2 linked regions of the Struthio camelus genome follow. Each later gene encodes a partner of the first gene's protein in a complex. Links are inferred from orthologs where the notes say so. Each region holds a gene or a part of one and is shown on either strand. Other genes may lie near its edges. The genes, in order: DIS3L and EXOSC10.

Region 1 (15,949 bases):
AGTTTAATAATACAAAGTATGATAATAGCCAGAAGTATTTAGCTTTGAGAAGAGAAGGCTCAAGGAGGATTCTATCAATGTGTATAAATACTTGATGGGAGGCAGTAAAGAGGTCAGAGCCAGACTCTTCTCAGGGATACCCAGGGAAAGGGCAAAAGGTAATAGGCACAAACTGAAATACAGAAAATTCCACTTACACCTATGAAAAAGCTTTTTTACTGTGAGGGCAGTCAGACACTAGAACAGGTTGCCCAAAGAGGCTGCAGAGTCGCTGTGCTTGGAGATATTCAAAACTCAGCTGGATACAGTCCTGAGCAACCTGCCCTAGCTGCCCCTTGCTTTGAGCAGAGGGGTTCGACTAGAGACCTCCTGAGGTCCCTCCCATCCTCAACTGCTCTATGATTCAGCTCAGGGAGAGCCAGAGACATAGTGAAGACAACAGAGGCAGAACGGGTGTGCGTTAAGCTGCAGAATCTGACAGCTTAGCCATGGTTGTTACCCCTATCACATTGCCACCACTGATTCAACAAAATCAGAGAGAGGATTTCATGCATTTTTGTGAAGTATTAATAGGAAGTACTTTGACAATTATATTAAATGTGTGGTATGTAGAGGACAGTTACTAATCATCTTCCTTTTACTTCACTTAGACCTTGTGAATGAAACAGTGGAAGAAAAAAGGCCCTTAAACACATATCCTGCTCCCATTCAAGCAAGCAAAGAAAAAGGTACAACTTAGTCCACAGAAGCATAATTTATGTAGAAAAGAAGCAGCATTTACAGCTTTTTGTTGATGATCCAAACTTCTCCCATCACCAGATGAGAATTTTTCCTACAAAGGCAGTTTCAGAGGGGTAATAGGAGTCCCTGAAGCTAGGATAAGCAAGACTAGTGGAAGTTCTCGCTGTGCTTTTAGCAGAGAATGATGATCTGAGCTGCTTCATTTTTATTCCTTTCCACCACATTTAAAATCAGTGGTTAGTTAGCATCACACTAAATAGCACTTTTAAAATGATTTTAAAAGAAGCAGTCACATGGTGAATAAACTCTCACCTAGCATCACTCAAACAGAACCGTATTAGCAATATCAAGAACAAATTTTGCATAATGACCGTAATATGAAGTCATAACAGAACTATCTCACATTTGTGATGAAAGCCTTAAGGACAACGACAAAGACACCTATTAATAAGACATTCAACAGCACAGTATACTCAGTAGAGTTGGGCAAATACTGCAGTCCGTTTCCCTTGGATATTCATTTGAATTTTTAAATGGGTTTCTTTTGACTGTTCACATCCTTTTTGTGCTCACTTTCCATGAATAGTAAATGAGCTTTAACAAGGGGAATAATCATGAAAAACACATTTTAAGCTTGAACATTTGCCAAATGAAAACCTCAAATTGCACAATCAACAGTGAGCAGTACATATGTCAGTGCATGAATCTTACACTAAATTCAAAATATTCACTCTTGGTCAGTTTCATGCTCTTGCAGTTAGGAAATACAAAAAATATCATTACATAGAGAACGGGACAGCATAGGTTAAAATATTACTATACACAACGAGATGCTCCTGAATTATTTGCAAGCCAAGAATTAGTTCCTCAAAATAATTATGAAAAAAGAATATTGCTCTTTTTCTTAAATATATATATTTAAACATATATATGCGTGTGCATGTGTATACATGTATGTGTATATGTAGATATATAAATTAAACCATTTACCCAGCTCTATGAGATAATATGTTTTGCTAGTGGATAGAATATTGTTATGGCTATAAATAAAACCTTATTCATACCCTTTTAGTGAATAAAATATGAAGCACCTAAGATGCACAGCTGCCAGTCAAAAATATAGTATGATATATTTTCTTTTAGTTTCAGTATACATCTCTGAGCTCTCAAGGAAAATCTTTTGTACCTCATTTGTACAGCAAATCATAACAGCAGCGTTCCACACAGGTCAACTGCTACCTCATTTAATTTCTCATGATAGGAGCCTAAGAGGAAATTAATCATTTGCACCCAGAAATTTCTCCTGGAGATTTTGAAAGCAGGGGCAAAAAAAGTCACCTTTGCAATCCTGCTTTCTATTTACTGCGGTATACAAATAAATAACCCTTAGAGCATTATATTCCACAGCACTGACTCCAAACCTGAGCTAGAAATACTATAGGGAACAACCCCATTTTGGTAGTGGGTGGAAAAGGTGATCTGTTAGGTCTTTCCATCTCTAACTGCGATTATCGCTTGACCCATATAGGAGTCACTACAGAGGCTAAGGCACCACAAAGCATCACTTCAGTGTAAGTGTTCCAATCAAATCAAACAGATTTTGGTGACAAAAAGACTGGTCAGGTGGACTTTACCACTGGGCTGTCTAAATTACTTTCATAATTTCTAACATAACAAATATACACATTATGAAAAAATAAAATCTGAAATCCACCAAATTATTGTCATCTACACATAAACTAAAATTCCTTACTAGGCTAAAGCTTAACATCCTATTGATGTTAGTATAAAGGCTATTTTTCTTTAAATAATATTTGAGATAGATACATTAAAAACTCTGGAATGAACTATGTAAAGATACAAAATGAGTGAAAAAATAGTATAAAACTTTGTGATTCAGTGATGTAACAAACTTTTGAACTACATCCAAGAAGAAAAAGGGGTGGTGGGAGACCATTACTAAATACATAGTATAGTAAAAATGAGGAATTGTGATAAATAAATTGCCTTTATGCTTCTAATAATTGTAAACATCATGTAGTTTCATACTCCTGCCATGCTTGAAGAGATCTCTAGGTGGGTTTTTTATTGTATTGCAGAACAACATTAGTTTCCAGTTTATTTTTGAGAAAAAATTGCTCTAGTTATCTTATATTATGTAGTTAAAGCAGTTTGTTCACAGAAGCTGAAAGGTTGCATTTTAGTCTGTTAGACATTATAATGGAAGCTGAAGTTGGCATTTCAACCCAAAACCAATTAAATAGTGACTCCCAGTGGTGATAACTGGTGTTGCAAACTGAAAACTAGAAAGGTGGTTCATGACTAACCAAAATACAGCAAGAAAATTTGAAGCATAACAATGCACAAGAGCAAAATCCTTTTCTTTTTACCGAAAGAAAAATAATATTAACATGTTCTTTATAATGCTATGCAAAATAATTTTAAAGCATGAATGGGATAATCCAGGTAATTATAGGCCTTGACAGTCAAACAGCAATCTCAGGTAAAATAACAAAAAGTCTAATTAATATGGGATTTGACAAAAATAACTAAAGAAGGGTGATATAACTAATATCAGTTGACATAGGATTACAGAAAATAGATCTTGTTAAACTAACCTGATATCTTTTTTGATGAGACTATGGGTTTTTAGGTGAGAGCAGTATTGTCACTATAATAGAATTCTGCTAGGAATGTCAAGCTTTTTGAAATCTAGCTACTTGTCGACACATAGACTGCTTTTCTGAAAGCTGCAAATCACCATGGCATATATTAAATTGGCTGAGAAAAGTTTAACTGATAGGTCTTACAATCAAACGTTATATTCAGATTTGCTACTAGGGTAACTGTGATTTCTTTCGCGTATTTTATGACTGGCTTGGTACACAAGGCAGAGGACAGACCACTGACCTAGATCACTTCATAAAGTCGGTTCAGGCAAATAATACATTTTTGAAAGAAGCAAAGGTAACGTTTATATATTGAGCAAAAAAAAATGTAAGCCATGCTTACATAGTATGGGACCCTGTCTAGGGTCTATGGGACCCCCTGACTCTTAAAAATATTTGAGCATATGATTGACAAATAACTGAATGTGAGCCATCAGCACAACACAAAAGAATTAATTTAATTCTGAGATGCATATACAGGAGAACAAGAAGTAGGAAGATAATACATAATATCTGTTTCAGGCCATAGTGCAGTTTCCAGTGCTAACATACACAATACAATGAGGATTTTCAGAAATGGGATTCTTTTCAGAAATAAGCCATGGAAACATTAAAGAGTTGCAAAATATGAAAAATGAAGGGAGTCCAATTTAAGTCATCAAAGAAACAGCAAAAGAGGTCATCAGCTGACACTGTAAAAGCATCCGAGGAAAAGAAATTTGATGAGAGAGCTTTCCAATCTTACAGACTTACTGAGAGGCAAAGACAAACGTTAGCAAATTCAGAGTAGGAATAAAGTGCATCTTTTCCAGCAATCAACATAATTAACCTTGGTACAGCTTCTTTAGTAGAAAGAGATTTCCAAATGAGCACATTGCTGATAAGCAGGATAATATAAGGCCACGTTCTACATCAGTTAAGCTGAGCTTCATTGACAAGCATACCCATTCTGACCTAACATAATAAAATTCTCTGATCTTTGGCATATTTTGTCACTCCTACTAACAAATGTAAGGAGATTTAATGTTTGAGAGATTCTCTTACAAATGAAGGCAAAGAATTTTACTTCAAAAATGCAACAATAAGAAATGGAGCCTGGATACCGATCTCGATTTTACGTTGCCTTTTGTTCCGAAAATAGCGAGTTTCTTTTATCAGTACTCCTTCGTTGCATAGTATGAAGGAGATTAAATCTTTAAAAGACAATAAATATTGGCATCCAGAGCATAATTGCGTGAGAACTGTACATTATACTTTTTATGATAGATTAGTGCAAGGAGCTGCATATTAATCCTGAGACCATTCTAGATATGGGCACTATTTTTACAGTATTTGGGTTTTACTGAACCAGCAATACAGGAGAAGGAACCTCCAAGAGAAAAAATAGCATTTATTCAGTTTTGTATGAGTTAAGAAGCAGATGCTGAACTTCAAAAACTGCTTTAAGAATGCTTCAAAATTTCTTTAAGAATGGAAGAATCAACTTTAAAGATATCCTGTAAGACAATCGAATCTTCCATCCTCTACCCTAGCGATAGCATTCTTGGGAAAAATATGGCCTCTTTCAAATGAAAATACAAGATTTCTATTGATAACTTGGCTGTGTGGATACCAGACTTAAATACTCTGTCTCCTGTTTTGTGTTACTTTCTTAAATCTTTTTTCTCAGAAAGCCTGTAATAGGGCCTTATAGTTTATGTAATCCCGTCTTGTGGTGGTCTGCTGCCGACTTGTTTATAGGCACAGTAGCAAACCAGAATATAACTTCCTATATACTTTTCTGTGCTTACTGACAGTCTTAAGCACAATTTTAGCTGATGAAGCCCAATTTAGCTATGCAGTCCACCTCCCAACACTGGGGAAGGGAGCAGCTAGTGGCCTCTAATAACAGGCTGTACAAAACTCAGGAAGAAGTTCCCTTGCAAGAATAAAACTCAGCAGTTGCTTTGCCAGGACAGAAGTAAGGTATATCATAAAGTATATCTGTGTGGTGCCAACCGACACATACTGGTAAGCAGGTGAGCTAGTATTACATTAAATGGTCAACAATGTATTACACCTATTGCTGAATACCTGCTTTTCGTTTTATCTTGCGCATGTTCCACTTCCACATATATATGTCTGACAACAACCTACGTGATATTTTACTTCTACATCAGTTGCTTAGGTTAATTGTTTCCAGCTATTTGTCAGATGAGTCAGGCTTCAAGTCATGAGAAATCTGAGCTAGAAGCTGATACTCCCCAATGACCTGAAAGTTTTCTTTGCCAAAATACTGAGCAACTTCTATCAAAAGGTACTATATTGAAATTCTGCATTGCACCTCCTGACCTTTTTATAAGTAGGGAGACTTCCCGAGAGGCTCATGCTTCCCAGCATAGGCAACAACAAACATGTAACTGAACTTTCTAGAGAGAGTTCTCTGACTCATTTAAAACACAAGCTTTTCTAGTGCTTACTAGCGTTATCCAAGGCAGTAACTCTGAAGTAAGGAGAATACTCTATGAAAATAAAGAAATATTTGTACTATTTTATTTTCAACTGTTCTACCACATTTTGTTTCTTGGACACTTAGAGAAGGAAAAACTTCAGGAGGAAATTTATGTCTCACTGCTTTGCAGCTGTGCTGCACTCCACTTTCATTTTTCAACATGCAATGAGATCTTACAATATTGCATTTTTAAACATTTTAGCAGCTTTAAAAAAAAAAAAAACAATTAAGGATGATCTTGTTATCCTGGAAGTTTTGGCTCTCCCTCTACCCTGCAGCTTCACCCTGCAGAAACTTCTTGCCACGTATAAAACCAATTCCCAGATGATCTATCTCAAATCTCATTAGGCCAAACTCAATTGTTAGATGAAGTGTAAGTAGCTCCTTTTGGCTTTACTGACTCAACTCTAAACTGACTTTTACTTGTAAGAGAATGCTCTTGGGTGGTGGTGGGGGGAAATGGTGAGAATTTTAAAAACTGTCCATTTTAGAAATAAGCATGCAGCTACTCAGTAGTATCAGCATTAAATGAACTTAGCCCAAAGGTCTGGCATTTCTCTCTGTGAAACAGTGAACAAATTAGAGCACTGCTCTCAGTCACTTTCATTTAATTAGCCTTCATTTTATTACAGTCACTGAAGGACACTGAGTAGGCATGCAGGCCTGCGTTCTTCACTGTGTTACAGCAATCAGCAGCTACAGTGTTTCAAACTGAATTCAGTGACTTTTCTCTCAAATGTTATATTTTTCATTCCTTTTCTGTCACTACCGTTTATTTCATCTTTGTTCATACTGTAGAAGAGCTCTGTCATTTTGGTCTCCACCCCCCCTCCTCTCCTGCTTACATAATATGTCTAAAATCATCCTGACTAAGAAAAACAAGTCTACATTTTGGTCGTCTCTCACCAAGTTGTACTACCTCCTCCTCCTCATATGTTTGCGGACTTGGCTTCTGAAAATCAATTTTCTACAGATAGATGGCACTTCCATTTCCTGCCACCAACTGATTACTTAAAAATATTAGTCACTGAAGATACGCGTTTTATAAAATATGTGAAAAATAAGCAATAGAACAAACAGGAACATAGAGTGAAACACTGCCTTGGTTCTTTCCCACTGTCCCTTGGTTCTTTCTTCTCATAAGGACAAATACTAGATAGCTTACACCATGTATGTATTTCAAGTGAGGTTATGATAGATGCAATTCTGAGAAAGTATTACTGCTTTTTTATATTTAGAATAATCATCGCCAATAGGTTACACCAACATCATTGCAGCCTCATATGCAGAGCGCTGACTCAGACTCAGAAACAATGAGTTGTATTCATCACCCTGCCACTGCTTTTCCGTTTGATCATGGGCAAGCACTTCATCTTTCAGGGCCTCAGTGTTCCCATTTGTAAAATATAAAGGGCAATAATGGTCTCTACAGTAAAATTATTTGACTTGGGGCTTTTGTGCACTCCTCACTCACCCTAGCCACATTCCCCATCTTAGCACCCCTGGTGCTGGGAGGTGACCAAGCGAAACCAGATGATCTGAGAAACGGATCTGGGGCTGTGCCTGGAATAGGCTATGAAAGACCATGACGGTTCACATGAGCATTTATGCAGGACTACAGTTTAGATACAGCAAGACAGCCTCTTCTTATTTTTCCTAGACACAGAAACAGAAAAATTCACCATGTATCTTCACCACCACCACCCTCAGGCCACACAATCCACCCTAACAGAGGGCAAATTCTTCCCATTTGCCTTCCAAGGGACATCCCAGCCACTTTTTCAGTCTTTCCTCCACAGGCCCAAACCCTCTCAGTTTTACCTCACCGAGAGGAGAGCTATCCTCCCTGCTCACCCAGGCGCACAACCTGGGGCTCCAACGAACCCTGGTCCTCGCCAGGCTCCCCCTCAGCGCTGCTCCTAGCTCCGCCTCGAGGCTCGTCACCTCCCCTCAGCCCCCAGCTTGCCGCTGGCCCCTCACAGCTGCCCCGCTGCCCTCGGCTCGCTCCCGCCTCTCCCCTCAGAGCCGCCCCGCTGCCCTCGGCTCGCTCCCGCCTCTCCCCTCAGAGCCGCCCCGATGCCCTCGGCTCGCTCCCGCCTCTCCCCTCAGCGTCGCCTCTGCCCTCACCACGACCCCGCTGCCTCGGCTCGCTCCCGCCTCTCCCCTCAGCACCACCCCGCTGCCCTCGGCTCGCTCCCGCCTCTCCCCTCAGAGCCGCCCCGATGCCCTCGGCTCGCTCCCGCCTCTCCCCTCAGCGTCGCCTCTGCCCTCACCACGACCCCGCTGCCTCGGCTCGCTCCCGCCTCTCCCCTCAGAGCCGCCCCGCTGCCCTCGGCTCGCTCCCGCCTCTCCCCTCAGAGCCGCCCCGCTGCCCTCGGCTCGCTCCCGCCTCTCCCCTCAGAGCCGCCCCGCTGCCCTCGGCTCGCTCCCGCCTCTCCCCTCAGAGCCGCCCCGCTGCCCTCGGCTCGCTCCCGCCTCTCCCCTCAGAGCCGCCCCGCTGCCCTCGGCTCGTTCCCGCCTCTCCCGTCAGCACCGCCCCGTTCCCTCAGCCCGCTCCCACCTCGCCCCCGCCAGCTCCGCCGCCCCGCTCGCTCTCCTGCCCGCCCTCCTGCTCCCCGCCCCTCGCTCAGGGGGAGGCCCTGCCTCTCACGGTCGCACCGCCCCCCGCGCCATGCGCAGCGGCCGCGGAGCGCCGGGCCTGGCCTAGCGGCGGCGGCCGCCGCTTCCCGCCGCCGCGATGCAACGCACGGAGAAAGTGCTGCAGCTGCGGGGCCAGCAGGGCCGCTCGGTGCGCGTCGTGCGGGAGCACTACGTGCGCCCCGACGTGCCGTGCCGCAGCGCGCTGTGCCGCGCCGCCTGCCCGCGCGGTGAGGGGGCTGCGGGGGGGAGCGGCCGCCGGGGCTGCGCGGGGCGGAGGCGGCGGGAGGAGGTGGCAGGGCGGCCGGGAGCCGTTTGCCTCGGCGTGGAAAGCGGCCGGGGCCGGGCGCGGAGGTTGGTGCGTGCGCTGAAGCGATCCCCGGGCCGGGCGGGCCGGCGGCGCGGCCTGACAGGACCCGGCGGGAGAGGGCGCGGAGAAGCGGAGCAAGGGGCAGCGAGTAACGGGCGTGAGAAGAGCAGGACGAGAGAGTGGAGGACGTGTTGTAGTGAGGCAGGGGCGAGGGAGGAGAGGAGAGGGGGTGAGGCGCGGGGTTCGGGAGGCGGGTGGCGCCGGCCGGCAGAGAACGGGAGCGCTCATGGCACATCTCGCCCCGCCGCCGCCCCAGGGCGGCCTGTCCACGGTGCTGAGCACCGCCACATAGCGGCGGGGGAAATCAGGCAGCGCCAAGTCAGGGGTATAGCGAAAATACACCCTCAGAGCAAAATTCGCACGAAAATGAGGTGCTAAGAAAAAAGGAGAGCTGACAAGGGAAGTTGATTGTTGCAGGATTTGGCTGTAAACAGTTATTTTACAGACGCTGGTAAAACTCTAAAGGACCATGCAAGTTTAACGGGGGGAACACTCATGTTTTTGTGCTTCCTTTTTTAAAGCTCTTTCAAAAATGGATTAATTCCTGCAGGGCGTTGAGTTCCTGTGTAGCTTGAACTAAATTCTCTACGTATTTGTTGAGTATTCTTACAACGGGGCCAAGTAGGTGTCATTGAAACTTGTGTAATTCTGCGTCAGCAGTTATGTTGGTTCAATAATTAAGTTTAATTGTCCCTGCTATACCTGGGCATTTCAGACATGGGAAGACTGCCCGCTTCTGTGATTTCTAGGTTTCATGTTGTTTTTACATAGTGCAGCGCTCTTATGTACGTTATAGATCACCGTGTGATTGTTCGTTGATGTTTCTGGGTTTTTTTGTTGTTAAATAACACAATTTATTTGGTGCAAGAAAATAAATGACAACCAACACAACGTATAACACGTTTAAATCAACCAAATTATCTGCTGGCCTAAAAGAAAAGGCTAAGAATTTTAACTGTTTTTCTTCTGAACTGTAGTTGGCATAGATGTTGTCACCTCTGTTTTGTTTTTAGATGCCTGTTGTGATGGAGGGCAGCAGGTAGAGTAGTATATTACTTCTATCTAAGATGTCAGGACAAGGTTATTGTTACTGCTCTGTAATGGGTCTGGGAGCTGTTGAGATGTGTCATGTATTAATTCCTTTCCTTATGAATTCCCTAAGGATAAGTTACAGGCAAATACCAGACCAAATTCTTGCCTCTCTCTCCATGCCTAACTTCTGGACTTAAATGTAAATTGTGCCGTAATCAGTGTCAGAGTATGTCCCTTTGTAATTATTCTAGGTAACTCAGAAGTATGGTGAACATATGTTTTCACTCCTGAGTCTATATACTGTGCCGAGCAAACATATTTCACGCACTGTGGGAGCCTGCTTGCATAAATCACATCCACAGATATTTTTAATGGCATGCTATGCCTACTTAAAGTTATTCTGATCTAGATGTGTATGTTAGGCAAGGATAGCTTAATGTGAGCAGATTACATACATCTTCAAGTGACATTTCGCTCCTAATCCTCTTCTGAATTAGTAATAAAAATTAACTTTGTTATATGCGTCCTGCCATCGTCCCTTATATACCTTCAGTGTGAGATACAGCCGCATGATGCTGTGCAGAATTGTGCCCACTGGATTCTCACTTCTAGGGATCAGAGTCAATAGACAGACTGACTTGTGTCAGCTTCTAAGAAATATATGAAAATAACCTGATTTGTCAGGGTCTATAAAATTTGAATGTAATCTGCCAGCACTATTTTAAGTCCAGCAGTTCAGTGTTTGTAATAACACAAGGAATAAATAGACATGGAGAGAAAATGCAGTGGAGATCCCAAGGAAAAAAAAAGTTTACTGAGTAATCTCTGAAATATCAAAAGCAATTAATTAATTTTGGGGTATGTTTTAAAAGTTCTTATGTGATGGGTTTGTTTTGAGATTTTGATGGGATATGATTAAGGGATGGAGTCTCTTTAGAGAGAATTAACTATGATGGTAATAATTAGATTTGAGAACCTCTTCTCTTTATAATAGCATTGCTTTTCTCCATGTGTACCCTCACGTATAACCTTTTATGTACAGATACAGAAAAGAGCCTGCTGTAAGTGGAGAGTGTTGAATGGTGAAGATAATTGCACAAAAAGATTTGCTGTGGCAGATGTGGTCTCTCTTTTTATGTGGAAGTAGAGGAAACTGGACTGTTACCTGAACTTTTCAAGTGACATCCTTTTTGTAATGAAACCAGATTTTTTTTCACTCATTTAGATAGTATTTACTCAAAATTTTTTGCTCAGTGGATAATAGAAGGGCTCAGTCACAAATTGTAGGAATTGTACCGTAGCAGACGTACCATTTAATTGAACCGTGAAAATTCTGTTCCTCAGAAGAATAGATATATATACCTTTTGAAGATCCACAACTAGGATTGCCTCGCATTTGACAGTATTTTTAAAAAAACAATATTGCAATTGAAAGTTTAAACCTTTACACTTTGAATTACATTTTAGATGGCAAATTGTTGTCAGATGATGTGACTCATTATGTTGTCCCTGACTGGAAGGTGGTTCAAGATTACCTTGAGATTCTTGAGTTTCCAGAGCTGAAAGGTATTATTTTCATGCAAACAGCGTGTCAAGCTGTGCAACATCAAAAAGGCCGCAGGTACTTACCCTATAATAACTTATTGTTATTTTAGATTGAAGTAAAGATGTTAAGTTTGTAAAATGTGTATTTAAGCACAGTATGCTTAATTTGTTTTTAAGTCTTTCAAGTGTTTTGACATAATTTTATGAAAAGGAAAGAGCTATGATCCCTTGGAATACATAAGCATCAATACCTGTTCTATTTTCACGTGATAGGAACAATATTAAACCTATACTATTATTACTTAATCAGATAACTTGTGGAAGGAATTAAGGAGACTTTGCAGCAACAATGTGAATTTCATATGCCAAAACCAGATTATGCTTCTGTTTTTGTTCCTGCTGTATTAAAGAATGAACACATTTCTTCGAGGAGCAATTAATAATATGCTTATATATCTTACCAGAAGTTAACCTGTGTATTGCCATACCATATAAAAGTGCAGTTTTTTAGGATCAAGGTCTTATATTTTTAAGGCACCAACACCTTTTAAGAAATAGCTTTTGTCCCAGAAGTGACAGAATGAGTTCCTGAACATTTATGGCTTTTTGTACTATGAATGGTCTCACTGGAAAAGGATTCATGTGTATTGTATTACAAATATGGTGTAAAATCTGAAGAATTCATTACGGAAGTTAAAAAAGCCTACTTACAGATTACTTTTTAGGTTTTATCATCAATGGTGGAATTTAAGAATAAATACATTTGTTTATGAATGACAGGATTTAGTCTTACCCTGTTAGAATTCTTTAGTTTTCCGTGGGTTTTTCAGCTGTATTTTTAACTGGAGTTAACACAGCATTATCAAAAGAAATCACAAGGCTGTATTCTTTTTTTCATTTTCCAGACAGTACAACAAACTACGAAATCTAGTAAAGGATGCCCGTCATGATTGTATTGTGTTTGCTAATGAATTCCATCAACATTCCTATCTGCCAAGAGAGAAGGGAGAATCCATGGAGAAATGGCAGACCAGGTTTGTTTTAACTAATGTAGTTTTGCACGAGAGAGTATTGTGACGTTGTGTCTAGAAATGTTAGTAGGCATTGGATAGGTAAGAGTTGGTACTCTTGCTCTAATTAGCTCTAGAATAGTTCATGATAATTGAAAGTCTAGATTGTCCTTTTATGATTAAGAATGCATCAACATCGTTTTCTTAGAAAAATACACAAGAATGTAATTAATTAAACACAAGGATAAAAATACATTGGACCAATTTAAAGATAGACAGGCGTTTTAAAGAATGCTTTAACATAATAAATAGCTAAAACACACTTTAATTGAAGTGTTAGCTGTAATGTCCGTTAGCCTACAAACAACACAGCACTGGACTCCTGGCAGTTCCAGCTTGCTTTTCACAAACTTTCACTCGAGGAACACTGTATTATGTTGCAGCTGGGACACAGGTGAAGGGCTACTAAGATGATTAAGGGACTGGAGCATCTCTCCTATGAGGAAAGGCTGCGAGAGCTGGGACTGTTCAGCCTGGAGAAGAGAAGACTGAAAGGGAATCTAATCAATGTGTATAAGTTTCTGAAGGGAAAGTGTCAAGGGGATGGGGCCAGACTCTTCTCAGTGGTGCCCAGCGAAAGGATGAGAGGCAACAGGCAGAAACTGAAACACAGGAAGTTCCATCTGAACCTGAGGAAAAACTTCTTGACTGTGCGGGTGACTGAGCACTGGACCAGGTTGCCCAGAGAGGCTGTGGAATCTCCTTCCCTGGAGATATTCAAAACCCGTCTGGACACATTCATGGGTAATGTGCTCTAGAGGACCCTGCTTGAGCAGGGGGGTTGGACTAGATGATCTCCAGAGGTCCCTTCCAACCTCAGTCATTCTGTGGTTCTGTGTATTGGGGAGGAAACACTATTTTTGCGCTATTCTCTCAGTGCTGATGTAAGGCACATAAAATGTCTTGAAAATAAAAGATTTGCTGTATATATCTTAAATGTATGCGTAATAAAAAAAAATCACTTTTATACAAAGCCTGGAAATGCCTGCCGAGTAGCAAACGGGATATGCCAGAAATCTTGTTCAAACTTTGCTTTTCTAGGAGTATTTACAATGCAACAGTCTGGTATTATAATCACTGCTTGGGTCAGATGCCAGTTGTTATGGTAACAGAAGATGAAGATGCTATCAGGCAGTACGGAAATGAAACGGAAGGAGTGTTTGTGATTTCCTTCAAGGTAACGTATCAGAAGAATAGAAGAAGGTTTCCTTTATGCTGCATCAAAATGGCAAAGCAAGTACATTAAACCTAATGTATAGTGCAAGTCATTCTGAAGTTTACATGTAAAAAATACTGCAGTGGTAACTCATGACTTCATTTATCAAAGAAAGCAAAGACGTCAATGCTGGGAATGTCATCAAAATCAGTGGCAGTGAGTAAAACAGAACTGAGAAGGAAAACAGCAGCTCCAAGGATGGAGGTCATCTTTCTTAGGATCCCTTTTCATCATTTTCCATGTTTTTGAAGAATTTAGTGCTGATGAACAATAATCAGTTACCTCAGCCAGCTGTCTAAATCTGTAGTGCAGGTCCATTCACAGCAGTAACGGACCTGCACTACAGCAGTAAATATCCATTGTATTATTCTGCCCAGTGTACTTTAGCCTTGACTATTTAGGATACTCTGATGTGCAAGAAGATTATTATTCTTCATTTGGTTGTTGCTCTCTGATACTGCTGGTATTCGGCAGGGTATGTAGATAGGAGATTTACTTTTAGCTGTGAAAGGATGTTTTCAAATCATGAACACGTGTAAGAAAAACCAAACCCCAAAAGATTCACCTTAAAGTTATATATGCAAACATGATGCTGGTGGTTTTTTTTTTTTTTGAATTTGAAGCTGTACAGAATCGTGTAAAAACTAAAAAGAATAATGGGTGGCTTGGATGGGGTAATTAGTGGTAAAAGTCTGTGAATCTCTAGTCTAAGATAGTTTCTTAACAGTAATGTTCTCTTTGTTGTATTCAGCCAAAGTGTTGGGTTGAATCTGGAACAACTGTGTAGTGTTTAGAACAGACACATGGTTACCACTCAGAAATGCTATTTGAGTATAGCACATGACAGCTTTCCAAATGAAGCATTATTAAAAGAACAGAGACACCTCAAACTCATTGCCTGTTTATGTATGTGCATACAGAATTACTTGGATAACTTTTGGCCTGACTTAAAGGCTGCCCATGAGCTCTTCGACTCAATAATTCAAGCTCGCCGTGAACGGGAGAGTGAAAGTCAAGAAAATAATGGAAAAGAGTATCCTGAGCACTTACCCATGGAAATAATAGAGGCTGGGGTCAAATCTGGAAGATACATACAGGTAACTTGTTATTTAGAGATCATGTGCGCTCTTGTGCACGGTGCACGTGGATGTGAACAGTGCGCTCTTAGGGTAGGCCCCTTTATTTCTCTGAATTAAACTGATTAGATGAAGAAATATCAATCTAGCGGGAAGAGGGAAAAAAAGATATTTTGAGAAAGAAACCAAAAAAGCCAGACTAAGAGTTTGGAGAAGAGGGAATGTAAAGAAGTTGACTATTGAAGCTAGCTAAGGAATAATCAGCAAAGATACTTATTCCCATTCTTTTCCTCAAATAGCAAGTTGCTCAGGTGATAGTCCCTAGGATTCTCAAAATATTTTTTTTGCTTACTTCCCTTTGTGAGCATGCATTTTTTTTTCCTCTGGAGAACAAAAAATGAGAATTTGTTATTGATGATCTTCAGTTTGCTGTGGATTTTTCTTCAGGTTGATATGTGATGTAGCGGTAGATTGAGAAACTAGGTATGATATTAGGCCTGTCATCAAAGTTCATACATACCTACGTATCAATAAAAACTACTCATTTATTAAAAATATGTTTCAACCTCAAAATTTTGTACTTTAAAATTGGCACTTTTGAGGTGCGGCTGTCTCATTTTTTTATCGTTTTATTACTTTCTTTTAGGGTATCTTAAATGTCAATAAGCATCGAGCACAGTTGGAAGCTTTTGTTCGACTTCAGGGAGTTGGCAGCAAAGAAACAGGTGAAAAGACAATGAGATGATGTACCCAGTGATTTTTTGGGGCAGAATTCCATGTTCCATGCCAACCTACTGAGGAAAAAGTAAACTAATACACTGTCTGTGCTTACCTACAGCCCTGTGGCTGTATCAGCTGTTCAGCTATTAAACAAGAAGGTGAAAACTGAGATACTGCAATGCTGAGGTTTTCTTCATGGACCGGAAAGGATGTTGAAGATTATCCCACAGGGCCTCCTGATAAAACAGTACTCTCGATTTCCACCTTCCCCTCTCTTAATACCTTTGGCCATTAACATTTTGGATTCATCTGTCCTACTAATGGGTTTCTCTAGACCTTTTCTCAAGTTGAATACTGATGCAAATTGTTATCTTTGTGCTCT
Region 2 (16,520 bases), on another chromosome or scaffold:
GTGCATGGGGAGACATAAACAGGAGCCTGAAATATGTTTGCGACTATGGGTGTGCTGGGCTATTGATATCAGTCAACATAATACAGTGGAAGGAAGAGTGCATCTGAAATCGCTCCCCTTTAATGGCTTAACGCATCTAATTTTAGGGTTGTTTGAACCCCCTCAGGCTATGGCATTATTGACCTAAGTATATAATAGTTTGGCTTCATGCAAAACCCAACTGGTTATTGTATAAATTAAAATATAAACTGAAGCATGAAACGTCTATCTAGCTTTGTTGCAGGTACCCTTCTGAAGTTTTGGGAATTGTTCTTAAGAAACAGAAATAGGTTAAGCAAGCCAACTCCTTGCCACCCTCTTTACTTTTTTCTATTTTGTCTCTGCTTGTAGGTGTGGTTTGACAGAAGAACTAATTACACTCGCTCACTAGCTGTGATGTCAATGGTTGGGTACATTTTGGGCCTTGGGGATAGGTAAGTGGAATTGCGGGAATTTCTTTTAAACGCTAGCAGAGACTGTGTATACCTATCAATTTAATCCCTGGCTCTGTTCTTATGCTAACAGCTTCTATCGTGGATGTAGCTGAGTTGTAATGATAGCATCTTCCAGGACCTAACCGTGCCACCATGATATTCGGCAGTGCGGGAATGAGGTGTAGGATTTGCGTATCTTGAGTACAAATAAGTTTCTTCCGTTTTGGGAGGAATATACACAAAATTAGGTCAAGAGCCACAAGTTTGAATTCAGGCCTTTCTCCCACTCACAGAATGGGAAATTGTTCTCCATCCTTTCTGTGAAACGGAAGTAGTGTTGACTCTTGCAGCCAGTCTGTAGGCTTCTGTGTGCTTCTGACTCTTGCAGCCAGTCTGTAGGTTTCTGTGTGCTTCATGCTTATGAGATTGCAGTTTTTCGCAGTGTCTGTCAGGACTGTACACGTATCTCCCGCTTCTTGGAGGAGGAAAAAATCACTGTTATCAAGCAGCACTTCTTATCCTCTGAAGTAGCAAAAAGAAATCCAGCAAGTATTGAGGGTCAGGTGTCTCTTGGTTCTTCCTCCTAATGGGCTGAATAATACTGTTTTCCACACATTTTTGCCTGATGGATATTTATTCTGTGAGGCAGGAACAACTAGTGCTATGTTTGTTGACAGCAATTGTCACAGATGCATGAAATCCCCAAGCGTAGCGCCTAAAGACCTCTCTAGATGTATAACTGAAAACAAATGGAAGTTAACATGGGTTTTGAATACTGCTTAACACGAAGCCTTTTCTAATCTGCTATGCAGACATGTTCTGGAGGGAAGTAGGCATCATAAATGAGATTGGGTGAATAATGAAAAAAAAAAAAGATAAAATGAGTAAGCTATTTGATCTTACTATGTGGTTTACTGTAAAAAGGGGACATCATAATTTCCAAAATACTTTTGAAGACCTCTCAAATGTTTTTGTAATAGCAGCTTTTTATTCCTGACTTTAAAGGTTTTTATATCGCAAGTATAAACCTTTGAAAGTTGGATTAAATCAGAATTGGACCAAGGCAGCATGAATAACAGCATCTTGGTTTCTCCTAGTCTAGATTGGTTCTCTTCTGTTCTGGTAATAATCCAATTTGCATTACTTTATCTGTAGCATAATTCACTCTTTTTCTCTACTGAAAAAATGTTTTAAAAGTAAAAGAAGTAGAAACATTTATCCTAACTGAAAAAGAAATGTTCAAATCCAAGGCATGTACTGATGGCTCTGGTCCAATTAATTGTCTGTCTTCCAAGGCGAGATCATCTCTGGTAATCCTGAGAGGTAATTACAAAGATAATGTGATAGATGCACTGTCAGGAAGCTGTTCTGTTCATCTGGAGATTGAAGATCTCAGACAGGCATGCTGCCACTGGTTGTTCTCGTTCGTGAAGATAAATATCAGTTCAGACTAGAGCTGTGATTCAATTTACGTTTTTCTAATGATCTGTCACTCTGGCTTTTCTCCTACTCCTTCATCAAAGACACCCTTCCAATCTGATGTTGGACAGATTGAGTGGAAAGATCCTACATATCGACTTTGGGGACTGTTTTGAGGTAAATTTTTGTATTTGGAAGTATATTTCTGCAATATTTCACATCATCTGGTGCAACAGAAATTAATCTACAAGCCAGGGCAAGCTGACCTTGGAGTGTGATCCTGAGCAAGCCTTTTGGCTCTCTTTTGGGCTTCACTTTGCCCACAGGCAAAAGAAATTAATATGTACTTTATCTCGGGTGGGGGGGGGGAAGGGGTGTCATGCGGATTATCTAACTACTCTGGGGCAAGCAAAGAAGTGCTAACATCACTTTTCCAATACAATTTCTTCGAGCAATCTAAGCTGCTGATAGCAGCCTGTGTTACATGACACTAGCAGCATGAGCATACAATTGAGTTTTCCTTGTGTAATCAAGTCAGTTATCCAGCTTCTCCTAAAAACTGCTGGAAACTGAGGAACGTTAATCTAGGACATATTACATATTTCATATTTGTAATTACAACCTTTAAGGTCGTAGCAAAGAAAACCACAGTGCTTATTAACTCTTAAATAATAAGTTAGCTATTAATAATTGTCCACCGTTGTGTGTGTAGGTTGCAATGACAAGAGAGAAGTTCCCGGAGAAGATTCCGTTTCGGTTAACAAGGATGCTGACAAATGCTATGGAGGTTAAGTATCCCCTCTCTGATACGAAGAGAATTGTTCCCTGGGAAAATGGCACTGATTTCTCCCTTTTTCCTGTACTTTCTTGTTGTGGTTGGATCTCTCCGAGACTCCTGCAAGAAGCAGAGGTCTTAATATTTCAGCTTCATTTTCTGTAAGTTAAAATATCTGCTGCCATCTTTACAGTACGTTACTGTGGAAAGCAACTTCTCACTGATGCAAAAAACCAAAAATTTTTCCAATTTTCTCGGGTCTTCCATAGTTTCCTCATTTCAAATAGCTCTTTGTGTCAACCAAACACCACGAATAGCGTGGTACTTTACAGTGATCAATTCGATGTCACATGCACGTTACTCAAATCAGTACATCAATAAATCAGAAGGAAGGAGCCTCTTAAATTGTATGAACCTCTATCTTGTTCTCGTAATGAATAGAGTCCAGTGGAAGCGGGTTCCAGTTCAAAGCACAAGCCTTTTCCTGCTCCCTGAATGTTAGGGTTGGAGTTGCAAAGTGAAAGAAGCAGCGTGATTGATTCACTTCTTTCTCTTCTGAAGGTGACGGGCCTAGATGGCAATTACAGAATCACCTGTCACACTGTGATGGAAGTCCTGCGCGAACATAAGGACAGTGTCATGGCTGTGCTAGAAGCCTTTGTATACGATCCCTTATTGAACTGGAGGCTGATGGACAGTAAGTCATTCGGATGAAACAACGATAGCAGGAGAGTCATCAGTCAGATTAAAATAGATTCATGTAAGAAATCCAAAGGCCTGAAATCGAATGTCTGTTGAAGGTCAGTCCATTTAAACGGTAGATTTGCAAGCAATGATTGTGCACACACCCAGTTTTAGGAATCATAATGTGAAGTTACCACAGTGGTTAAAACCCTTTTGCCCTTAAATACAGACATTGAACTGAAGCGACAAATCACATCATGTGGATTGCTTTAGTATTAGCTGTCGTCTTGAGATGAAAAGCTATTTTCAGGTAAAATACAATTTGGAAAAAGAAAAAGATGATCAAGCCTGTATTGTTTGTGGATAGACAAATTTACTGTGAAATACTGAGCCTCCAGTTCAAACTTTTCAACTCTCTTATTTTCTTGCAGCAAATACAAAAGGCAATAAGCGCTCACGAACGAGAACAGACTCCTACTCAGCTAGTCAGTCAGTAGGTGAGTATAAAAGATGATGCATTTCATGAATGTTTGCGTTTTTTTTAACAGTGCATAAAACTGGTAGAAGTATTTTCAGTTCTTTTTCTCCTCAAAAGTAGAGAGAGAAGCAGCTTATTGTTACTTGGTTTTAAGAGTGTGTATAACTGAGTAAAATAAATAGTGTTGAGTTCAGTACTTCAGCTCAAAAAGCAAATGCTGCTTTACAGTTAGACTAACACCCTTCCAGAGCGCGCGCAAACTGGTGTAATCCACAGAATAATTTGGTGTGTGCTAGTTATTTACTGAGCTACTAAATATTAGTATGCAAAACCTGGTGAGTTGTCATCTGAATGAATGTTAAGAGCATTACATTGAATCTTAACAGCTGTTTGCTATTGGACTGAAGAACAGTGAGAGTTCAGTAAATAGACATACTTACTTGACTGCTATTGTAGGTTAACTGTGCGTCTTTTCAAAATATCTTTCAATTACGCTTTTACACAAAACATTCCTGAAGGTTGGATCGGGCCTTTCAGTGTGTTAGCACAAAAAAAAGTTTACTCCCATAGTACAGTTCCATTAGTGATAAAGATATGCGGTATACTTTGTGACGGTTGAATATGCTTTTCAAAGGAGCAGATGAACAGCTCTGTTAATGTTAACAAAGGAATGGTAACTTTACCTGCCTTTCCGTTTCACCTTTATGTTTCTGTGTTTTTTCAATAGAAATGTTGGACAGCGTGGAACTGGGTGAGACAGCCCACAAGAAAACTGGGACCACAGTGCCTGAATCCATCCATTCCTTCAGTAAGTTTCTTTGAATCGTGTTGGTTTTACACTGATGCAGAAGTTATTTTTAGATAGAAAACTTCATCTTGATGTAGAAACAACTACCTGAAATCAGTTCCTTGTCAGCGTAAATAAGAAATATAGTACCTGTTCCTCCGCTCCAAAAAAAGGTGACAGAAAACATACTAGTATTTGGGACTGTTGGTTCATAGAATGGCAGTTGAGAAGGGCAGATGTAATAGCAGGAAAAACGTTGTTGTTGTTCAAATGAAGTCTTAATTCTTTTTTTATTTTGATCTTTTAGTAGGCGACGGTCTAGTGAAGCCAGAAGCTCTGAATAAGAAAGCAATTCAGATTATCAACAGAGTTCGAGATAAACTCACTGGTGAGCATATTTTTATGTAAAATTTGAGACGGTTCGCCACTAACTTTTAGCATTTGGATTGTGTATTAATCCTTTAATTAAAAATATTCTGAATAACTGGAGGAGGGCGTTTCCTACCTTTATCTAAAAGCCTCCTGTGCCTGTGCTGGAATTTGGGTACAAATGAGCCTGATCTATAAAATACGGAGCTGACTGCATTTAAACAGACTCGTGTTTTAAATGTCTTAGCTTGTTGACAGAGGTCAAATTTCTCCTTTGGCCAGGCTTTGTAGTTTGCAGTGTTCAGATGTGAAATCTTACACTCCTAAGGGTTCATAAGAAACTTTCCCCCACCTGCTCATATAATGTACTTGAAGCTATTAGGACCAGGACTCCAGTTACTGGAAAATTATCTGTTATTGGAGAACGCAAATATTTTCTTATCCACTGTTTGAAGGAGAAGTTAAAGGAAGAAGCCACGACAAGGGAAAAAGTATGAATTTCTGGACTCTAATCAGCTTTAGAAGTTCTCGATCTTTGAAAATTTTGCATCTTACACACACTATAAGGGGACGGTAGTAGAAGTCCAATCAGTCCTTAACTTGCCACCCAAAAGCAAGTTCTGTTGCTTGACCTGTAACTTCCTTTTCTGTTTTTATTTCCTTTAATCTTAAAGGTCGAGACTTCTCTCATGATGAAACTCTTGATGTACCCACACAAGTAGAATTGCTCATTAAGCAAGCTACTTCTCATGAGAATCTCTGCCAGTGCTACATTGGATGGTGAGTTTGTCATTGAGTTAACCTTGCAAAATTCTGGAATGAATGATCTGAGCAGGGAGCAGCTAAGGAAAATGTCACTTCTTGTGTACTGAGTTACATATATGAGCCTTACCCGATGTTGCATCTGCTCTGGTAGATTTTGCAGGCCTGTAGCAGGGCCCTCTGCTGTAAGCAAGTAAGTTGGTATAGGTGATGGGGGGGATTTTTGAACCTTTAAATGTGCGTCCAAACGTCAGCCCAAATGTTTTAAGTGTTTGCAATAAGGTGTTCTAGGTGCGTCTCCATCACTGATTTTGGTTACAGTGAAGAACCTCGTGTTCTAAAGTAAACATAGAAGTATGTGTCGTTTTGAGGCTTAGCTTGAGGGATGATGTTTAAGGAAACAGGTCTTTGTAGTGTTTTAAACATGAGTTGCGTTAACTGGAAAGAAGCATGGGAGTCACCAGTCAACTTTCCTCTGGTAAATATTTTAAAAGGTGCTTTGGCGGTATGGAATTTCAGTCCTTCTCAGCATTGTCTTTGTTAAACTATATGCGAGACAACACTACTACAATATCTTTGTTTTCTTTAGGTGTCCTTTCTGGTAGCAGAAGATTCCAAAGTATCCACAGCCTTTTATTCTGGAGGCTTTTGCACTCCAATCTTACTCTTCTACAAACACAAACAGAAAGTTGGACTGAAATACAGCCTTTGTCAAATATTTTGAACTGTAAATGAAAAGAGTTATTGTATATTAAAAGTTGGTTTAAGCCAATTTATAGCTGCTGTTTGAAAAACACAAGCTGTCTAAAACACAACACTTGTTTTGGGTTTCCAGGACAGTGAAGACTGATTGTACCACAGATGTCTATGGTTCCACTTGGTCTTTGGGGAACTGGTGATCCATTGAAAATAACTATATACGGGTTTTGACTGACTTTGCAATGTAACTAAATTGAGTCATTTGCGGATTAATTATTGCCCTGATCAATCCTGTTGGCGTGGCTGCAGAGAACTCAGTGCACTCGTGCAGCAGGGTTCGCTTAGGTTTGGAGTTGAGCTGGAAAACTGGGGCGAAAGCGAGGAGAAGGAGAGTTGCACCATCCTGTTACCTTGTTTTCCAATTTGATTCTTGCCCCCAAATTGAAAATTATTTATCGGCTTATTACATTAGCAGAGGAGTCATGTTTCAGACTAGATTGGGATATCGGAGCAAATCCAAGAGCTGAAGACCTCGAGCCAAGCGCAGTAAGGTGCCTGCCTCTATATGGACTGATCAGTGGCAAAGCGGATGCAGGGTATCACTGAAATACCACTTGGGAGCTTCCCACAGGGTCTGGATTAAAAAGCAGTATTGGGAAATAACTAGGGAAAAGTTAATAAGCAGCCTAAGAGGCAGAAGTGGGGAGGACTGGTAATAACTTGAAACAGAAAATAATGGTTATTAAACATGAGGGTGAGGATAAAGTTATGATTTATGAATAAAACATATTAAAAACAAAATGCACAAAATACAACAAAGAGTAGCCATGTTTAGATGCCATGTTGTATTTGAATATTTTTGTGCCAATAAATTACACCAAAATGTTAAAAATGTCGATGGTCGTCTTGTTTATTCCTAAGCACTTCTTAGGAAGAGACAGGGCTGCGTTCAACTTCGCAGCAGGCGTAAGCCTTTAGTCGAGGATTAAGGTATCTGAAAAGCTTTCCCGTTGCTAGAGCTGTTGATTGTCTTTTTCTGCACCAGTCCAGGTTGTTGGCTATCTTTCGGAGGCAGAGTTACCAGGAGTGAGTGAGATGCCCGCGCGGTAAGAAAGGAGCTTGCTCGGGCTCAGGGTCTCGTGGCCACGGGCGATAGCCGGGGCCGGGCCGCGCTGCCCGGCGGTTCCCACGGGCGGCGGTTCCCACGGGCGGCGGTTCCCACGGGCGGCGCTGGCCGCGCCCCTCCGCCAGAGGGCGGTGCGCTCTCTGCCTCTGCGCATGCGCCGCCACCGCCTCCCCCCCCCCGCCCTCTCGGCGCCGCGCTCTCGCGAGAGCGGCCGGGCGTCGCGTGGCTGCGGCAGCAACATGGCGGCCGCCGTCGAGGAGGGGAGCGGCAGCGCGGCGACGAGGAGCCCCGCGGCGGAGGAGAGGCGCGATGAGGCGGCGGGGCGGCCCGCGGAGCCGGCGGGGGGCAGCGCGGCCGCGGGGCTGCCCGGCTTCGGCGACGCCGACGCCTTCGTCAAGGTGCGCTGCGGGTGGGGGGGGGGAGGGAGCGGAGCGGGCGCCGCGCACTACCGCTCCCGGCGTGCCCTGCGCGCGGCAGCGGGAGGGAGCGGCGGCGGCGGCGGCCGGGGCATGCTGGGAGTTGTAGTTCCTTTGGGGCTGCCGGGCTCGGGCCCCCTGGCCCCGCGAAACCTGCATAGTTATAGTTTTCCATAGTGTACGTAGACTCAACGACTCTGAATTTACGCGTTTCAAAAAGCCTGGTGACGTTATACGTTAGAATTAACTGTTGGTGTTGAGGCAGGCTAGGCAGAGCGCACCTGCGTTAAACACTAGCCTGGGTAAAGGGAGAAGAAGTCTGGAGAAGAATACTAACGATGACCACATCTCTCTTGCCCAGTATGCGCTTGGCACAGTGGTAGCTGCTACTAAGGCGTCTAATGGGCTTCCTCAGCCTGGCGACGAGTACGACTTCTACCGAAGCTTCCCTGGATTCCGGGCGTACTGTGAAACGCAAGGCGACAGGCTCCTCCACTGGTAAGGGTGCACCAGCTTCTCTGTGCCGTTGCTGATAGCTTCTAGTCCACAGCGGAGACTAGCACCCTGTGTTGGAAACTGCAGAGTAGCTGTAGGTAAAGAGGTATTTTATTCCACGTACCTAGCTTTTAGCTGCTTTTCTAGCACTTCACAGTTTAAGCAGCGAGCTTAAAAAGGACGTTTCATAATGTTTTGGGTGAAGACCCGTGGAATAGAGGCGTATATAAAGGGTATATTTATTTCTCTGTTGAGAAAGTTATGAGATTTCTAAGGAATTCGTACTACAGTTAGTACTATACGGGGGCTTATTATATTTATTGCTCACACAATGTTATCTGTAGGTATTACGTTTGGTTTATTTTCAAAATTCTGCAACGTAGAAACTTTAAGAGAGTTGGATGGGAGTTTAGTGTTCATCGCGCCTGCCTTGAGATCACTAATCGCTGTGCTATTCTCTTGGGAGCATGAGCAAGGTGATGCAATACCATGGCTGCCGCAGCCACATCAAAGATCGCAAAAAAGTGACAGAGCTGGAAGATAAATTTGATATGCTGGTTGACTCTAACGACGTCATTCTTGAAAGAGTGGTAAGCAAATTATTCCTGCATGCTGCTGTTATCAGTTATTCAACTGCCGTGAGTTTTGTTCATTACAAGAATTTCAGTGACAATACCGCTACCGTTATGTTTAATGCTTTTTCAGTCTTTCCTTTATGTTTAAAAATGTTGCCACGTGCTAGACTAGTGTATCGTTTTGTGTTCAAAGCTGAGCAGTTAAGTCGTGAGCCCAAAGGAGAGGAAGGTAACATGTGACCTGTGAGGAAAGTAAATGCAGTTTGGATCGAGAATCTTATAACCTAAGAACAACTCTCTAAAGTTGTAGAGCTGCTTCTCTGAGGAAACTCTTCCTAACCCCTGTCATTCCCATACCGTCCTCACGCTTGGCTGTCTCACGTTGTACAGAAGTGAGAGGGAAATGGTGGTGGAGGCCTCTGTGTGTTTTTCTTTATTCAGTCTGACTAGAACGGCTGAGTACAGTGACTTAACAGATGCTTGGTTTTCAACTCCTTTTCTGGAATTTAGGGTATTTTATTGGATGAAGCAGCAGGAGTGAACAAAAACCAGCAGCCTGTCCTCCCTGCTGGGTTGCAGCTCCCACAGACAATCATTTCCAGCTGGAACCGCAAGGTGAGGCCTCTGTGCTCAGTTTGCTGTGTTATCTTGAACGTTTTTCCCAGCACTGACGCTACGGTGTTTCCTGTGGAGTTCAGTAGTCAAGCGTTCCCTCAGATTTTGTAGCTGTGTGAACTCCTTTTTTTTCCTCTTTATTCAAATTTAATTCTAGATTCTGTGTGCTTTGACTTGTCATTTCACTTTCATGCACACAACAGCCATCCGCTTACTCTTTTGTATGAGTTCAGGAGCCTGAACTTGAGCACTGCCGTTCTCGAGTACTGGACTCTTACTGCAAAAGAATGGCTCATTTTTAAGTTTGACGTATAATTTTATTGCTCTGAGTATTGAGTCGGTCTGAGTAAAGGAGACTCTGAACAGCTGTAAGTGATACGAATTTTACTTGTGTATTTTTGTTTTGCTTTTTAACAGGGAGGAGAATCCCACAAGAGAACAAAATCTGAAACCTTCCGATTGCTTCATGCTAAGAACATCTCTCGACCGCAGCTTAAGTTTCGGGAAAAGATCGACAATTCCAACACACCCTTTGTACCTAAACTTTTTATCAAGCCAAACGCTCTGAAACCTTTGCCAGAAGGTAAGAGATTTATTTTTTTTTACTGGGTGAATTATTGAGAACGTTTGACATAAATCTGTCCTCACAATCCGGAATAGAAATCACGGGATGTAAGAACAAGCAGCAGCAGCAGAAGACTGACCGTTTAGGTGTAGTAAGCTGTGTGACTCTAGTAATAGTTTAAGTACATGTGGTGTAAGGGTTGGTCAGCATACAGTATCTTCTCGCTGATATGCAGGAAGTAGTCTGTTCCGAACAGGTATTCTGCTACTCTTCTCTGCCACCATTGGACATCCATCACCAGAGTCCCTCTGACACTAGCAGTAGTGCTGACTAGTCTATAAGTCCGGCTGGCTTTACAGATGGGCTGTAATTTTTCTAATGAGCATGTGTGTACGGGGGCAGGCAAATGGTTAGACCTAGCTTGGCTTTGGCTGCTTTATCAAAGCTACCAGCAAGACATTCCCGTCTTGGCAGCTTGTCTTTCTGCCACTGGTGATTCATTTTTAGTCTGCACTGGTGCAGTGGTATTTTAGATACCGGGGAATGATAGATTTCTCTGAAACCAGAGCAGTCTCCTTCCAAGCTTTTGCGCAAAATCACCTTGCATCTTGATTAACAACATACTGATAATACTTAGAATCAAGTTGTCACGTGAGTCAGAAATCTGGCTGACAGCAGAAGGGCCGCAGGTCTGACTTGTTAAGATTTTTTGATACTTAAATGATTGTAATAGGTTCCTGTGGTGGGTGGAGGGGAGAGAATAATGGGCTGAGAACTCGTTATGTGTGGGACCCAGTCCAGTTGTTCCATATTGGTCATTCAGCCCTCACAAAAAGCGGACGGGACCGAAAGGAGCGCCCTGAAGACTTGGATGTACCAGCTGCTTTGGCAGACTTCATCCACCAGCAGAGGACACAGCAAACTGAACAGGACATGTAAGAAATTAAGCTGACAGCCAGGTGCTTGGAGTGCCCTTGGTGAACATGCACTTGTGTGGTCCCTTTGCGCTGATGGCGTTCATGTGTAGCAGCTCTGCATGTGTTTGTGTCTGTACACTGCGTTATGTGTGACTTTAGGCATCTGTAGTTGTTTTAAACCCACGCTTAACCGGAGGCAAAATTTCTAGTCAGTATGGAAACTGCCATAGCTCTCAAAGTCTGTGGGCTCTGGCTGTGTGTAGTTGACTGAAACTTAGTGTGTGCCTGTTTTCCTAATTTCTGCAGGTTTGCTCACCCTTACCAGTATGAACTGGAGCATTTTTCTCCACCGGATGGAGTTCTCAAGAAACCAGATCTCCAGGTTGGTGCCCACACTAATTTAATAGCAGATGCAGTAAGTTTACAGCAGGCCCTACTTGACAAGTTTCAGAGTTAGGGTGTGCGTGAGGGGAGGGGATTGACTTAGGGCATGAGTTTTGGGGAAGGCAGTACCGATACTAATAATTTGCTTTGCCAGATGTACAGGCCCATCAAAGAAACGCCCTGCCATTTTGTCAGCACACTGGATGAGCTGGTAGAACTGAATGAAAAGCTTATGAACTGTAAAGAATTTGCCCTGGACTTAGAGGTAATCCATTTACCTTTTCTGTTTAGAAGTTACGTATGTGTTGTTAGCATCTAGGAGACTATTGTATTCTTCTACTGTTTCGTACTCTTTTCTCGTTCTCCTCCTTTTTCCAACATACTTTCTTACATGGATTTAAATCATGACACTGACCTACCGGATGTTACCTAGAAGGCTGAATCAAACTATGGGTAATATTGTAAGTTTTCCTATTGTATGAACTACTACACAATTCACACTGAATTTATTCTTTTTTAAATCCCTCTCCTGATGCTTTCTGTCACGTTAGTGACTGCACAAGAAAACTTGCTCACCTGGTTGTCTTTTGCTTCAAGAAGCCCTCTCTTACTTTTTTTCCTTCATCTAGGTGCTCTTTGTTTTATAAAATTACTTCTGTAATGGATCCTGGATAACATCTCTTTTCTGCCTTTTTCAGCACCATTCCTACAGGAGCTTCCTGGGCTTGACATGTCTCATGCAGATTTCCACCCGAACAGAAGACTTCATTATTGATACACTGGAGTTGCGCAGTGACATGCACCTTCTCAATGAGACCTTCACAGACCCTGGAATTGTGAAGGTCAGCTGCCAAATTGACCATAATTCCCACATTTTTTTAGTTTAAGCTTTATTGTTGTCTAAAGCATACTCGTGTGATCTGTTTTGGTCTCTTGGCCCGCTTTCGTTAGAGTTCGTTCATGTGCCTCTTTCATTAATGCGTATGGGGAGTTACTTCCCAAGTGCAATCATTTGGTAGTTCTGTATATAACAATGAGGACTAGAGAGGAAAGAAATCCGTTTCTAGAAACAGATTGAAGCCACAGTGCTGCAGGCCTGGAGTTAAAAATGTTCTCTGCGTCACTGATGCTCTCTGATATATTTGTGTTGCTTTGCAAGGTCCTTCATGGTGCTGATTCAGATGTGGAATGGCTGCAAAAAGACTTTGGTCTGTACTTGGTGAACATGTTTGATACTCACCAAGCTGCTCGTCTCCTCAACCTTGGCAAGCACTCTTTGGACCACTTGCTAAAGCTATATTGCAATGTGGATGCTGACAAGCAGTACCAGCTGGCTGACTGGCGGATACGGTAAAAACTGACTCCTTAAATGGTCTGGAGCCTTTTGGTAGCATTTAGCCTTGTTTGTACGGTTAGAGCAAGAGTATCTTTCTGGTTGCAAGCCCCGTAGTTACAGGTTGGTCTTGAAGTGAATGAGCGCAGCATTTACTTGTCTCTGCGTTTATTACTGTTATGCTTCCCCGTGTTTCTTTAGGAACTGACTTTTCTTGGGAAGAGCAGGGGGTGTAGATCAGTGCAAAGCTCCTGGCAGCTCACTTAACCAGTAGGAACAGTGTTTAATCACTGCAGTATTATGGAGAAAGTCAGTATTTGGCTATGACGGCGTCGCCACGAAACCATTTGGTCACTTACACTAGATAGAGTAGTATGCTGATTAGAACAATGAGCTTGGGTCTGAGGATGGACGCTGCAGACGGCAGAAATCTCAGGTGCAGTTTATGTGGGCTCTCTATAGGAGGAGGAGCTGTGACAATAGCATAGGAGGCGCTTCCACCATCTGATTATTAGCGACACAGCAATCCTGCTGTCTCACATGCGTACGGGATGTCATCCGAATAGAGGGTGTCGCTGCTGTTGCCAAACAAAATCCTTCTAGAAGGAAACAAACATTTTTGGATTAGTTCTTAGTGGGGTTTAGATGCCGTTTGCCCTAATGTGTCCTGCAGAAGGAAAATGCTGGTATGGCAGGGCAGCTGAAACGTATTGCTGTAATTGTGGTGGTTCTTCTAGCCCTTTGCCAGAAGAAATGATTCAGTATGCCCGCGATGACACTCACTACTTGCTCTACGTCTACGATAAAGTGAGGGAGGCACTGTGGGAGAGAGGGAACGAACAACCCACTCAACTGCAGATTGTGTGGCAACGCAGCAGGGACATCTGTCTGAAGGTAAAGCTTCATCTGGTTGGATTATCTGGATCAGAGTATGGGCTCGCTGGGACAGAAAGTCTTTTGACATTTCATGTGTGTTGCATAAGCACACTTTTTTCTATTTGTGTGTCTGAAAACGGTTTTACAAACTCATTTGAGTGCAGTCACTTTTTTCACTAGCTGAAATCCTTGGGTTCAGATGCCCTCTTGCTGTTTTTTGAATGCTGTTGCTCCTTGGCCTGTTGACGCTTTCAGGTGTACGTTTCTGCGGACAGATGTTACATTTCCAGTTCTACTGGACATTCAAAGCTTCACTGCAGTTGCATCATGAGACAAATACATTGTGCCCTGTGGAAAATCATGCGGGTGCCGTCTAATGCAGTAAAGCTGAAAGATACTGTGCGTCTCAGACTGCTCCTGAAGTTGCTGTGGGGTTTTTTCCCCTCCACACGGACGAGATGCACGTTTTTCAGGGGAGAGCCCTACCAACAGTGTAGGGTGAAAGCTCCAAGACGTAGTACGCTAGAGTTTGTTCACTGCCCTTATGTCTGTGTGAGATGCTGCCTGTTTCAATGAAGCAAGGCAACCCAGAAAGCACGACACGGATACTAATCTGCCTTTTTTCCTGTCCAGAAATACATCAAGCCCCTCTTCTCAGACGAGTCCTACCTTGAGCTGTACAGAAGGCAGAAAAAACACCTCAACACACAGCAGCTAGCAGCATTTAGGTTGCTGTTTGCATGGAGGGACAAGATGGCGCGTCAAGAGGATGAGAGCACAGGGTAGGTGGCGTTTGTTACAGACAGTGGCTTAATACTTAAATAAGCCTCTTGAACTGTTGTCCTCCCCTGGGGAGGAACCACTCTGTAACCTGGAATATGTACTGTTCTACCTCAGGCTGCTTTTTGCGCTTTTGAACAGAAGTCCCGTATGTTAGCAGCACATTCTTACGGGTTTCTAGATCAGCCCTGCTTAATTTCTTCTTAACTGATTTCGTCACTTCAGACTTTTTAACCGGGGCAAACTAGTATGCTTTAAAGGTATTTTTAAAAGTTTTTGACGATCTGTTACGTTTTCACAACCTCTTTGTGTTGTAGATATGTGCTACCAAATCACATGCTGCTGAAGATAGCAGAGGAGTTGCCCAAGTAAGTTTGTTCACCCTTGAGTAGTCGCATGTGATTTTTTAATGTCCAACAAAGAGTTTCCTAGTATATCCTCACTTCTGCATTTGGTACGTTCCTTCCAGCTGTCAGTCGAGCTTTTCTCTAGAGTTCTTCAGTTTGCAAGAGAAATAAATTGCACTGTTCCTTCAGAAGCCTCTCAACTTCTTCTGGGATACATATCTCTGTGATTTTATTCCCCTGATAAAACGCATGCCTTTGCACTGCTCTGTCACACATGCCCCCTGAGATTCCTACAGCACTACAAAGCCAGAGTGGGCTGATTCCCCTCTAAACATTGATTTGTTTGTTCAGTTCTTAAAGTGAGTTGAGTAGGAGCAGATTGCTTTCAGCAAACAACTTTGTACGTTTTCTCAAACACTTTGCACTCATCATCTAACAGCTATACCTAAGAATAGTAAAAATGCATCCTTAAATGTAAGTCCGCTGCTGGGCTCTGCTTCTGCAGGTGAGTAGCGAAGAAGGAATGAAATGAAGACGGGACAGACAGACCGCAGAAAAGATGAGTGAGAGGACAGCTGAGTTAATGGTTTCTCCTTATCTGTACCAACTCAACAGAGAAGAATTTTTCATCACGGAGAATAAACAGTGTCGGACTGATCTGTCTGTCCTTATTTTGTCACAGTTAGGCCTGTGGTTATGACTGGCTGCACGTCCTTTGAATGCAAATGCTTAACACATCGTCCGTAAAAATAGCACAGTGAATTTTTCTCATCTCTTTTTAGAGAACCCCAGGGCATCGTTGCTTGCTGTAATCCAGTCCCACCGCTAGTTCGCCAGCAGATTAATGAATTGCATCTTCTCATTCAGCAGGCCCGAGAGATGCCCCTTCTCAAGGTAGGAGTGGCTCTCAGCACACAAGAGACTTATCACTTGCTTTCCATAAGCCAGGTACTGGAGCCACATGGTGACCTGTGATGATGCTGAAGTTTGCTGTTTGAACGCTGTGAATATACAGTGTTCTGTAGGGGAGTAGAAAGACGCGTAGCAACTTCTTCTTGCCTGTTGTTTGATGTCTGCTGGCTTACGTGCAGCGTAGTTCCCTGGAGAACTAAAGCAGTGAAAGAGCAGGCTCCGTTTGCCCGGGGTGCAGTTGTCTGTACAGAGGCATATCCTTATGTTATATATCATGTGTGAGGAAGGACTGGACCCTGTGGAATTTGTTGGCTCTGTGACTGGGTTCATAAACCTTTTTCAACTATAGTGAAGCAAAAAACCTCCCTTTAAGAAATTCATTAGATGAACTGTCATCAGCGTGTTTATATTGATATAGTTCTTTTCCTTTGGTGAAACAAAACCATTTCTGAGCGTGAACTTGTCTTTACCATGTGAACCGTTTAAATACATCCGTATGCAGACAGTGCAGCGGAAGAAAGAGAGAACACTGCTACCTTGTGGAAAATGATAAAGAACACCTAGAAGAACTAGGGCAGGTGCTTCAACGATTTTCTTTAACTGACTTATTTTCCTCTCCCATTCTAGTCTGAGATTGCTTTGGCAGTCAAGAAGAGAGCACCTCTGTCCACCTCTGAGGTACTGTACACCTAATGTTTTTTGCCTAATACGTTAAGCCTTAAGCTCGGAAACA

What was found.
Region 2: DIS3L (region 1) and EXOSC10 share a complex: the UniProt entries of both Homo sapiens proteins name them as parts of the RNA exosome complex. The link is inferred for Struthio camelus from reciprocal best matches to the Homo sapiens genes DIS3L and EXOSC10.

The regions. Positions count from the first base shown.
Region 1 is NC_090953.1:3,226,208-3,242,156, reverse strand, and holds the start of DIS3L (DIS3-like exonuclease 1), read left to right. Parts: upstream 1-8,520; 5' UTR 8,521-8,638; coding exon 8,639-8,768; intron 8,769-8,835; exon of another isoform or gene 8,836-8,892; intron 8,893-11,407; coding exon 11,408-11,561; intron 11,562-12,390; coding exon 12,391-12,519; intron 12,520-13,596; coding exon 13,597-13,732; intron 13,733-14,691; coding exon 14,692-14,868; intron 14,869-15,493; coding exon 15,494-15,572; intron 15,573-15,949. UniProt on the Homo sapiens protein: Catalytic component of the RNA exosome complex which has 3'->5' exoribonuclease activity and participates in a multitude of cellular RNA processing and degradation events.
Region 2 is NC_090962.1:6,479,282-6,495,801, reverse strand, and holds the start of EXOSC10 (exosome complex component 10), read left to right. Parts: upstream 1-7,788; 5' UTR 7,789-7,811; coding exon 7,812-7,970; intron 7,971-8,349; coding exon 8,350-8,486; intron 8,487-8,949; coding exon 8,950-9,073; intron 9,074-9,568; coding exon 9,569-9,673; intron 9,674-10,090; coding exon 10,091-10,256; intron 10,257-11,061; coding exon 11,062-11,173; intron 11,174-11,461; coding exon 11,462-11,537; intron 11,538-11,693; coding exon 11,694-11,804; intron 11,805-12,237; coding exon 12,238-12,381; intron 12,382-12,698; coding exon 12,699-12,889; intron 12,890-13,609; coding exon 13,610-13,766; intron 13,767-14,381; coding exon 14,382-14,530; intron 14,531-14,845; coding exon 14,846-14,896; intron 14,897-15,657; coding exon 15,658-15,769; intron 15,770-16,414; coding exon 16,415-16,465; intron 16,466-16,520. Other genes in the region: serine/threonine-protein kinase mTOR, read left to right, coding at 391-473, 1,997-2,069, 2,605-2,679, 3,229-3,364, 3,783-3,848, 4,557-4,637, 4,924-5,004, 5,660-5,765 and 1 more. UniProt on the Homo sapiens protein: Catalytic component of the RNA exosome complex which has 3'->5' exoribonuclease activity and participates in a multitude of cellular RNA processing and degradation events.